2 linked regions of the Caenorhabditis elegans genome follow. The protein of the gene in region 2 purifies or fractionates together with the protein of the main gene of each other region. This does not show direct contact. Each region holds a gene or a part of one and is shown on either strand. Other genes may lie near its edges. The genes, in order: nhr-202 and C04A11.2.

The links.
Region 1: the proteins of C04A11.2 (region 2) and nhr-202 fractionate together in Caenorhabditis elegans (co-fractionation; one large-scale study listed by BioGRID). This does not show direct contact.

The regions. Positions count from the first base shown.
Region 1 is NC_003283.11:460,849-465,742, reverse strand, and holds nhr-202 (Nuclear Hormone Receptor family), read right to left. Parts: upstream 3,156-4,894; 5' UTR 3,144-3,155; coding exon 3,004-3,143; intron 2,957-3,003; coding exon 2,826-2,956; intron 2,786-2,825; coding exon 2,715-2,785; intron 2,585-2,714; coding exon 2,456-2,584; intron 2,406-2,455; coding exon 2,196-2,405; intron 2,104-2,195; coding exon 1,907-2,103; intron 1,300-1,906; coding exon 1,035-1,299; intron 989-1,034; coding exon 887-988; 3' UTR 780-886; downstream 1-779. Other genes in the region: nhr-203 (Nuclear Hormone Receptor family), read right to left, coding at 3,965-4,066, 4,115-4,382, 4,486-4,682, 4,734-4,894.
Region 2 is NC_003284.9:13,665,379-13,670,813, reverse strand, and holds C04A11.2 (uncharacterized protein), read left to right. Parts: upstream 1-1,985; 5' UTR 1,986-2,115; coding exon 2,116-2,144; intron 2,145-2,657; coding exon 2,658-2,738; intron 2,739-2,817; coding exon 2,818-2,879; intron 2,880-2,925; coding exon 2,926-3,061; intron 3,062-3,110; coding exon 3,111-3,438; intron 3,439-3,642; coding exon 3,643-3,865; intron 3,866-4,065; coding exon 4,066-4,265; intron 4,266-4,340; coding exon 4,341-4,462; intron 4,463-4,513; coding exon 4,514-4,613; intron 4,614-4,661; coding exon 4,662-4,700; 3' UTR 4,701-4,856; downstream 4,857-5,435.

The sequences.
Region 1 (4,894 bases), on a different chromosome or scaffold from region 2:
ATTTTTTTTTTCAAATGACAAAAAAATTAAGAAAGCATTAACATGAGTTTTTAACAAAATAAAAAATTTCTTCAAATGACCCATCTAAAAACACATAAATCTCTCAAATCCAAATACTCTCGGACATAATTTCACTAATAACAGGAGTGCGAAACCATGTGGTTCTAATCGAATAAGGTCATCGTCTCCGTCATTCAACTCATCAAAACACAGACGCATTCAAAAGAAAGTACATTGATTCTTTGGTCTCTTCCCCACATGTTTGCAATTGCCGACTTTTCTCGGGTATTCTGCGGGTGTTATAATGGACCTGGTAGTATTTACACAGCTTACTTGCTTTAGGGGGAATATCCTAAAGTGCTGGGGAACAAAATAAAATATTCAGGTTTTTTTAGAAAAAAAATCGGATTTTCCATAAATGAGCTGAAATTTTTGATGCTGAAAATAACAAAATGACACATGAAAATTTTAAAAATCCAAAAATCCAAAAAAAAAAAGTTTCAAAACTATTTTGAGATTTTGTGTATGTTTAAAAATAATGTCAACGAACAAGAACAATTACATTTTTCCAAACAAATTTTCTTTCAGAAACGAAAAATCTAAATAATATTTTTTGAAAAGTTTAACGATTCAAAAAAAATAGATAACGTCATTTTTCAAAGTAATTAAAACAAGCACCTCCGATTTTAAAAAAAGTTGTAAAGGTAGTTCCGAGCATATGACGAGAAATTTAAAAGAAGACGCAGACTCTACGAGAAATGTCTGATGTGGAATAATATAGTGTAGTTTGTAGTGCAAACAATAGGTGCGAAGAGCACTTGGTACTTTAGAAAAAGAGCAAAAATGTGCCAAGAATATAGGTGTTTATTTACAGATTATGAATTCGTTATTGGTAGTTCATAAATAATTCCGGATGGGAAAAGTTTACAAAAAACACTTCGAACACTTTCAAAATCTCCACATTTATTTGGTCTTGGTAGATGAATTGCTGGAAATTTCAGAGTTTTTTCCAGACAAGGTTTAATATAAAATACCTGAGCAATACTATTAAGCTTCATCAAAGCAGCAATCCTTCCGGAATAATTCGGGCGGGACAAATGGTTCAAGTAATAGTCGTGTAAATGATTTGATATAGAATCTTGAAATTGCTCAACGGCTTCAAGTATTTGCCCGTCACATTGTTTGCTAATTTGTTGGAAACACAAATGACATAGCATGTAACAAAGTTCCTCATCTGTTGGGTTGAGTTGTACCATCAATTCCAGCAGCTCTTCATGTTTGTTCCAATTTGAATCGATGCTGAAAAAATAGTAAGAGAGTAATGTTTTTCGAAAAGTTCGTAAAACAAAATTGATGAATTTTCAAGTCTTACGTTTTTAAGTTGGTGAGTTGTAGAGTGAAATTGGATTTTTCAAAAACATTTTTAAATTGGCCGCCAAATTGAGACTAAACTAAAAATTCGGGTAATTTTTTTCAGTCAATTTTTTCGGTTAATTCAATTTTATAAATTAAGTTTCAGCTAATTTTCAGAACAAAATCAAAATTTCAAGTTTGTATTACTCTAAACATATTTCTAGAAGTTTCCTGATTATTGTAGGAAACTCTAGAAGTTTCCAGAAAAATCTAAAATTTTCCAGATTTTTCTAGAAATTTCAAGATTTTTCTGGAAAGACCCGCTAACAACTTTTCTCAGAAATTTTAATTTTTTCGCCAAAATTGTATTCTTAGAAAATTTTCAGTTTCCTGCCGAAATATTTTTCTTTTGATGCGTCTCGCCACGATGGGACTCGCAACGATGAGTCTCGCCACAAATGGAGAGGCTCCGCCCATTGATGACGTAGTCAACAGACGTACACTATTTTTTAATATATAGGCAATGATTTAATTTTTTTAAAATAATGCTCACAATGCAAACTGCTCCGCTTTGTAATTTGAGCACCAAGATAAGTCGAACTCTACCGACTTCCCACAAGCCACTAGATCATTTTCCATTTGTAATACCATAAGAATATCATCACAATTCATCCGCTTTCTCATTTTGGCGGTAGTTGCCAGCTTTTCCAAACCATTCCAGACAATCCAAACTTTTTTAATAATCTCTATCTAAATATTTTTATTTATTTTTATTTTTATAAATAAAAAAATATTTTTATTGTAATTTGTACACAAAACATTGCAAAATTTTTAAACTTTACCTGAAATTCCGAAGAAAACTGTTGAAAATCTTCAAAGTAGGTGAACCACTTGGCAACTTTCAGCATATCATTTTCCCACATTGCAAACATTTCATCTTTTCCGAATTTTTCTAGCCGTTTCGTTACTTTTCTCTGAGACCCCCGGACTTGCTGTAAACCCAAAGCCAGCTTTTTCAAAATATTCGACGTTTGAATAGGTGTTTCAATGCCCTGAAGTACACAACTTTAGTTAAAGCTTGTACTAGCTGGAAATATCTTGCCTTTAGTAACTCCCCGTAGGACTTGTCAATCAAAAATTTGACATCGATATAGACCTTGGGATTTTGTGCATCTTTTGGTGGAGCAGTGAGAATTATAAAGCTTGGTCGAGCAAGGAATGTTTCAAGCGTCTGGAAATTGTATGTGCATGGCCCGACCTTGAGTTTGGGTTTTTGATGGTGAGGCGTGGAACCCGGAGGATGTCGGGCCACTTATTTCAGTCTCAATAACAATTTTCCGTTTTTTTATAAGACAACTTACCGGTGGAATTCTTCCAGCTAGACTGATGCATATTGAACTTCTCTTGTATGGGTCCCTTTCGAATTGAAAGTCTGAAAAAAACTAGTACTAATAGGGAGCCAGATCCCTTACTCTCAATTTTCATCCCAATTTCGAAGCATTTTTTTAATCGACACTTTTTACAGCTCACATATCCATTTTTGTAAAAATCGCAAACATTGTTCTTTTTACATGGCTTGAGATTGTTTGAAGCTCCGAATCTCCTGGAATTTTGTAAAATATTGTTAAAATATTAGAATTAGAAATTTACCTGAAAAACACCGCACAAGCTCGACAGGTGTACGCTCCGAAATGAATCCCATGGGGCGGCTTATAGCAAACCGGGCACTTTTTAGTGGTAGAAATGGTGAGGTCCGGTGGTGAGGAGCCGGATGAGCAAGGGGTATCCATTTTGTTTTCCTGGAATATGTATTTTTAATGTATTGTTTCAGCATAAATTAACCAGCGTAAAAATCAAATAAAGACATTTTCAAATCGGTGTAACCATATGATGAAAAAATTATTTGTTGAACTTTGAAGAGAGCGCAGAGAAAATGGAAGGACAAAACGCGTATTTTGTAGTGTATGTGTGGGTGCCCTACAGTTTGAAAGATCAAAGAGTATAATAATAGGAAAAAGTGACCTAATAAAAATTTTTGTCGACTTTAATGTAAAAAGTGGCATCACTATCTTCTAAATGCTCAAGAAACATAGGGTTTTAAATTTAAAAATAATGGTTTATTTATAGTTTGTAGTTTTTGTAGTTTGTAGTGCGTGATTATTTTTGAGCAAAACCCTTCATTTTTTAAAAACATTTTACAGAAATTTCAGCGCAAGGTTCAACGTTCTCAATTAATTTTCAGCAAAATTGAAGTTTTCGAAAAATTTGTAATTTTTTTTCAAAAATAGCTCGGCGAGAGCTGACGCAAAATTCAAAATTTTCAAACAATTCGGCGCGAAACTTAGACTTCAATATTTTTTCTGAAATTTACCGCGGAAATCTAATTTTTTCAAAAAAATAATTTTGGAATTCCTGAATTATGTCCAATATAGTATTATATTTTCACGCAAAATTCAAAATTTTATTCTATTTAAAATCCAGAGTTAAATTCAAATTAAAATATTTTATTCGTCGTTTTGCCGTAATAATAAAGCATGTTGAGATACAAACAAATGATTTTTTTTTAGAAAAAAAAAACATAATTTTTTGAGATCTTCCGCACTTCCATTGACTACCAATAATCCACAAATAATTCAGGATTTGAATACTCCACGAATAACACTTTGAACAGTCTCATCAGTTCACATTTCAGTCGTTCCCGCTGGACGTACTTCTGAAATTTCAAAAAAAGGTTAATTTTAGAATTCATAGAACAAAAAACCTGAAAAGCATTGTTGAGCTTTATCATTGAAACGATCCTTCCTGAGTAAGTCGGGCGGTTTTCATGGTTTATGTAGTAGTCATGTAAATGATCAGAAAGGGTGTCTTGAAGCTGCTCAACGGTTTCTTGAGTAAACCTGTCACATGATTTTTTGATATGTTCGAAGCAAATATGGCATAGCATATAACTGAGTTCTTCGTCTGTTGGATTGAGATCTACCATTAGTTGCACTAAATATTCGAGCTGAGCTTGATGGTCAAAGTCGAAGCTGAAAATGTTATTATCGTTGATCTCCGGGTATATGATAAGAAGCAGCCGACATTTATCGCAAGCCTCGATCGATGTCGGCCGCTGTGGATTCCAAAACTCACAACTGCAACTGCTCGGTTTTATAACTCGAGCACCAGGAAAGATCGATCTCGATCGACTGTTCACAGGCCACCAAATCATCGTCAATCTGAAGCACAACATTCGCACTTTCGCATGTGGAATTTTTTTTAGCATTTGCAGTATTTGCCAGCTTTTCCATTGCCGCCCAAATAGCCCAGACTTGCTTGATCATATCGATCTGCAAAAGTTTTTTTTTTCATTAGTATAAGTTTGATCTACCGGCACAAACCTGAAGATTATATGGAAGTTTCTGGAAATTGTCGAAATATGTGAACCATTTTGCAATCTTCAACATATCAGTTTCCCACATTGCAAGAACTTCGTCCTTCCCGAATTTTGACAGGATTTTTGTCACATTGCACTGAGTACTGCGAATTTTTTCCAGGCCTA
Region 2 (5,435 bases):
TCAGCGATCATCTGTTCAATGAGTAGTTAAGAAAAGATTAAAAGTGAAATGTTCTTGGCGAACTTCACTTTTTGTTTGAAAAAGTTGAGACAGACGTTTTCAGAAGAAAAAAGAGAGATTTCAAAAGAAAAAACAACAAGTATGAAGTTCAACTTTATCAAAGATTTCCGTTCGGCAAAATCAGATGTTTCCAGTAGATATGTCCATTTTTTATGGTTATTAACAAGGCATACAATAGAAATTTGTTAGAGTTGATTCGGTGTAATACTGAAGGTGTCGGATATTTTTTTTTTCAAAAAAATAATAAATAAGTGTCAACAAGTCTAACAGAAACATGGAGCAAAATGACACATTTTTCGGAGTCGTACCTTTCATTTGTCAAATTTGACTTGTTTTGCGAATTGGGCAGGGGCAGTGCCAATATGAAGAACAATTTCATACAATTATACAATTTTTTAAGAAGAAAAACTGATAGAAAATCATAAAGAAAAAGTGTTTAGAACGTAAAAAAAATAAAATTCAAGTTCTCATTCTACATTTTGAATAATGACTTTCAGGCTTGAAAAAAAAAGAAATCGCAAATTTAAAATTCTAAGAAACGTTCCGGGAGTTTCATTAATTTCCTAAATGGTTCCCTGATTATTCAAATTTTACAACGGGTTTTTGAAATTTCCAATGTTTTGAATATACAAACAATAACTATTTTTTTGAAGAAACATGTTTTTGCCTACCGGAGCAGAACTTTTTTATTTCCACAACGTACAGTTCAAATCTAACAGGCCTAGAGATCGTCAATTTTCTTATCACCAAAAGAACTCCAAGAATGCCACTAATAACATTACGCAAAAAATCGATAAAATGTCGAAAAACAAGCGAAATGGTCAGTGCGACAAGGGGCGCAGAGCAAACGTGGCGAAAAAGGGTAAACAAAGGTGAACAGTGAAAAGAGATAGTAGAAAGAAGGAGGGAGGGCGTATTTGAATGAATAGTACGCAATTCTCATGTGGTGTGTTTGCGGACCTTGGCAGCGGCAGAGTTGTGCATTTAAATAGGGTCGGCTCCAAAGAGCACAATTAAGTTTTTTGGTTATTAATAAAATTTTAGAAGGGGAATAAACTTTTTTGTTACAAAACAAGTTTCTTATCTCACACTAGATATTTCTTGTCTTCACTGTGATATTTATTGATTTTTTTTGTGTTTTGTGTCAAAATTGAACTAGTTTCATAGTTCAACGTTGTTTAAATAATACTTGAAAATATGTTTTCCGTTGAACACGAAACGAGAATAGTAAATCTAGTGCCTTTTGTTTGAGAAAAGAAGGATAGCGTTAGTTAGAAATATTTTTTGAAAAGGGTTTCAAAAAAAAACATTATGCAAGAGTTAGAAATGATATTACTGAAAAATAATATATATTTAAAATTTGACAAGATTTTTCTTTTGTGTCAATTAGTAAGTTTCTAGGTAATTTTAAAAAAAAAGTCTAACATACCTTGTTAACGATACAGTCAAGTTTGATATTTTTCCACAAAATCAAGACTGAATATTTGCACTAGATGCGTTTAAATTTGGTCGTTCTTGTTTCATATGCTATTGATATTTTCAAGAAAAATTGTTTTTTTTTCAATCCCGTATTCAATTTCAAAAATTTTTCTCTGAATCGGGAACTTTGAAATCAACAAAATCCACACCGGATTTCCTTTGTTGACAAAGTTTTTGGAGTGTGTTTTTCTTTAGCTAGCCGTAAAGGGTCCTTAACTTGTAAAAACCTATTAATATTGTCGTATACATTATTGAATTCATTATTGAATTGTCAGGTTTCAAATTTGTTTTGCCGGTTCTTGTTTTGCACATTTACCTTCTTCCTTTATCCATTTCAAATCCAAGCCTAGCATTAGGACACTGTTCTAATTGGTTTGTTGGTATTCCTTGCCTCATTTCATTTTCTCCGTGCTCTCTCGGTTTCACACAGTCTATTACGTATTTAGGAGCTAATAGGTAGCGTCTGCTCGGACCAAGGACACAAGACCGCCTTCCAGTGCACCGCACCTGTCGTCCTTTTCTATCTCAATTCACTTCCCGGATACCAGTTCAGTTGACTCGGCTTACGGATCAAATATGAATCCAAATGACTCAATGACACTTTGGTATGTTTTAAGTTTATTAACTTTTAGAATTGTTTTATATTTCAGAATGATAATATTCTAAACGTTTTCTAAAATAAAAAGTTTACAAAAAATAAAAAATAAAAACACATCAAACGCATACAATATGACAATAATTATAATTTTTCCATGTAACTTTTAACTTTATTTTGGTTGAGCTCGTGTCACAGCTCTTATTTCCTTCGAATCGCCATCAAAATGAAATTCATGTTTTATAATCTTATTTTTACTAAATAAATTGAACGACGTTTTTAGAAAATCAATTTCAAACTATACGTTTTCGGCACATAATCGATATTTTCCAGGCCATGTCAGTCGGAGAATTCAAAAATATACATCACGTTTTCGTTTAAAAATTAACTTCTAAAAATGTGTCGAGTAACGAAAATTATCTAAACATGCTAAAATAATATGTTCTCAAACGTAAGCTAAACAGTATAAAAAGTTAAGGTGATTTTTTAAATACTTCATTGTCAATTTTAATTATAATTTCAGGAGCTCCTACAAAACCACTGAACAACGTATTGGACCCCTACCATCCACATCTACTCCGTTGAAAACTCCTCGATCTCATAGGTTACTTTTTTTACTTTTTTTTTTCATTTTTACTTTTCCGTTGATTTATGCACATACAACACTGACATAATAATTGCAGAGGTCCGGAAGAACCAAATGTCACTACTATTGTTGTGGATACTGAGCAGGATGAAAACAGAAGTAGGCTCTCCAAAAGTGAAACACGGCTTAGTTAGAGTATTTTCAGATTTGTGCAATTCAACGCAAAGCTTACACATTTCATGTCGCACCTGCAGAGAATTAAAGTTGGAAGTTCAGGAGCTTCGAAAAACTGTTGAAAAACAGGCACAATATATTCAAGTTCTCAAGAAATCTCTCAACTCGTATGTAGTGAACAAGAATGTCTCTCAAAAAATATTGTTTTTTTTTCAGAACAAGTGAAATGGATTCTTCTGAATCTCAACATGGAAATGGGTCAACAGCGAGTAGCGTCACAAAAAGCAGCACACGCGTCCAGAGAGTAACGCCCACCAAACGAGATATGGCATCCAGTGGCAGTACGAGCACAAGTAGTAGTACCTCAACTCCAGTCGTCAGAAATATTTTGCAACAACTAACAACGCCAAGGTCTGCTAGAACATCTACTAGAGCTGCATCAGGAAACAGAACACCTACTGGAACACCAAATATGACGAGAAACGTGAGGCCAGTCACAAATAGGACAAGCTCCAGCAACGTATCCCCAGCAGCACAAGTGACCGTTAGTTTTACAACATAAAAAGCAAACTTATAAAGTTCAGGCAAAATGGGAATAATTAGACAAGTTGCATAAATAATTTGTTTTGCTGTTCCTGCATAAACTAAGCTTTTTGATTTTTAGATGTTATACAATCGTACAGTTAGACTACGTTTTTGTAAAATTGAACAGACTTACTCCTATATTTATTTAATAATTTATTTTCAGCCCGGAACCTCTTCAAATCACCGGTCCAGACTTCCTCCAACGATCCGAGTGCCTCAATCTGAGCCGATTGGAACTCGTTCGCGTCCAGCAAGATACCAATCACAAACACTTCCAAGACAATTAACAGCTAACAATTCTAGAAGATCACAGTCTAGACGAAGGCTATTTGTGGATGAAGAAAGTAATAATGAAGATCGTAATGAGGAGCAGCCTGAAGTTAACCGTAAGTGGCGTAATTGGCAAACTTGAGATTGAATATTGATTTGACTGGTTATTTTGGAAAGTGAGACCTCAAATAAGGTGTAGGGCAAAAAATTAAAATATTTGTTACACCTTATGGAGAATGAATGTCAGTGATATCAGCAGTGATACCAGTGATATCAGAAAAATCATACACAGTTTCAAGTTAATTCTTAACTTTAGAATACCACCGCACACGCAGTGAAGCAGCAATCGAGCATCTCAACATTTCCCCAATGAAGGATGATCAGTGGGCTCGAGCGTGCCCGCCACGAATTCATCTCGAACGAAATCGCCCAGAATTCATCGAACGCGTCGAAGCCCGGCAAAGCATTATTCGAGCTGCGTCTGAGAAACGAGCAGAAATCGAGCATCGAAAACGAGTGAGTGCACTTCTTGAAAAGTCTTTGGATACGTTTTTTTTTTTTTTTTTTCAAATCGAAGACAATTATTTTTAGCTCGCAGCTAGAGCAGTGGCCAGTGGACAAAGGAGTGTAGAAAGTGTTAGCAGAGAGCTCTTTGCTGATTCAACGGCAGTCAAAGCTTTTTATGAGGAAGATATGAAGGAGATGACAATGAAGTATGTTTTTTGAGAACAATTATCTCAAAACAAAAAAATCCCAATTTTCAGAAATATTCGAAAATCCCAATCTTACCAAAACCGAATTCATCAAAGAATTGCCAATGTTGATAGAAAGGCCAATAGAATCATTGCACAAACGCATAGTTTGGTAGGTTGTTCACAATTTTTCCTTTGCCAAATGGTTGAAACATTTCAGAGAGCAAGATCCACTTCTCGATCACGATATCACCAATAACTGCTTCGAATCAAAAATGTATTGTCCTGTAAATTGAAAATGTTCTGTGCCATTTTGATCTCATTAAAAAGTGTTGTACATTCCAGCTTTTAGCATATTTTGTAATAACAACAATAGTTATGATTATTTGATTTTTTAATGAAACAAAATGCATTTATTGAAAAATAATGAGCTGAAAATACAAAGCTGTATGATTATAATGTTATGTTACAGATAGAACCCCCAACTGAAATGAAATTTTGGCGGTTTTTATTATTGCTTTGTTTTATTGAGGAACATGCTAAATTAAGAATCCGAAAAAAGCAAATAAAATGTTATGGTTATTCTAACATGATTATTTCAAACTCTATAAAACAAGAAAACAGTTTTAACTTGTTGTTTCTGTCAACTAACGTTCCTGACCAAATTCCTGACCGTTCCACCAAAACTGCAAAAATATCTGCACGAAGTGGGATTCGAACCCACGCACCCATACGAGTACCAGAACACCCAGGAGACCTCGTACTTGAGGCAAGCAATCGCTTGAGTCTGGCGCCTTAGACCACTCGGCCATCCGTGCTACGAAAGAGTATACTAGTGGCCTCGTACACATGCAAGAGTAACGGCAGAGAGAGAGAGACAGCGAGAGGAGAGAAAGGAAGGGGAGAGGGCATAACATGTGGTACACGTAAGATGAAGACGGGTGAAATAGTACCAAATACAATTTTAGGCGTTCGAAAAAAAAAGTGGTATTGC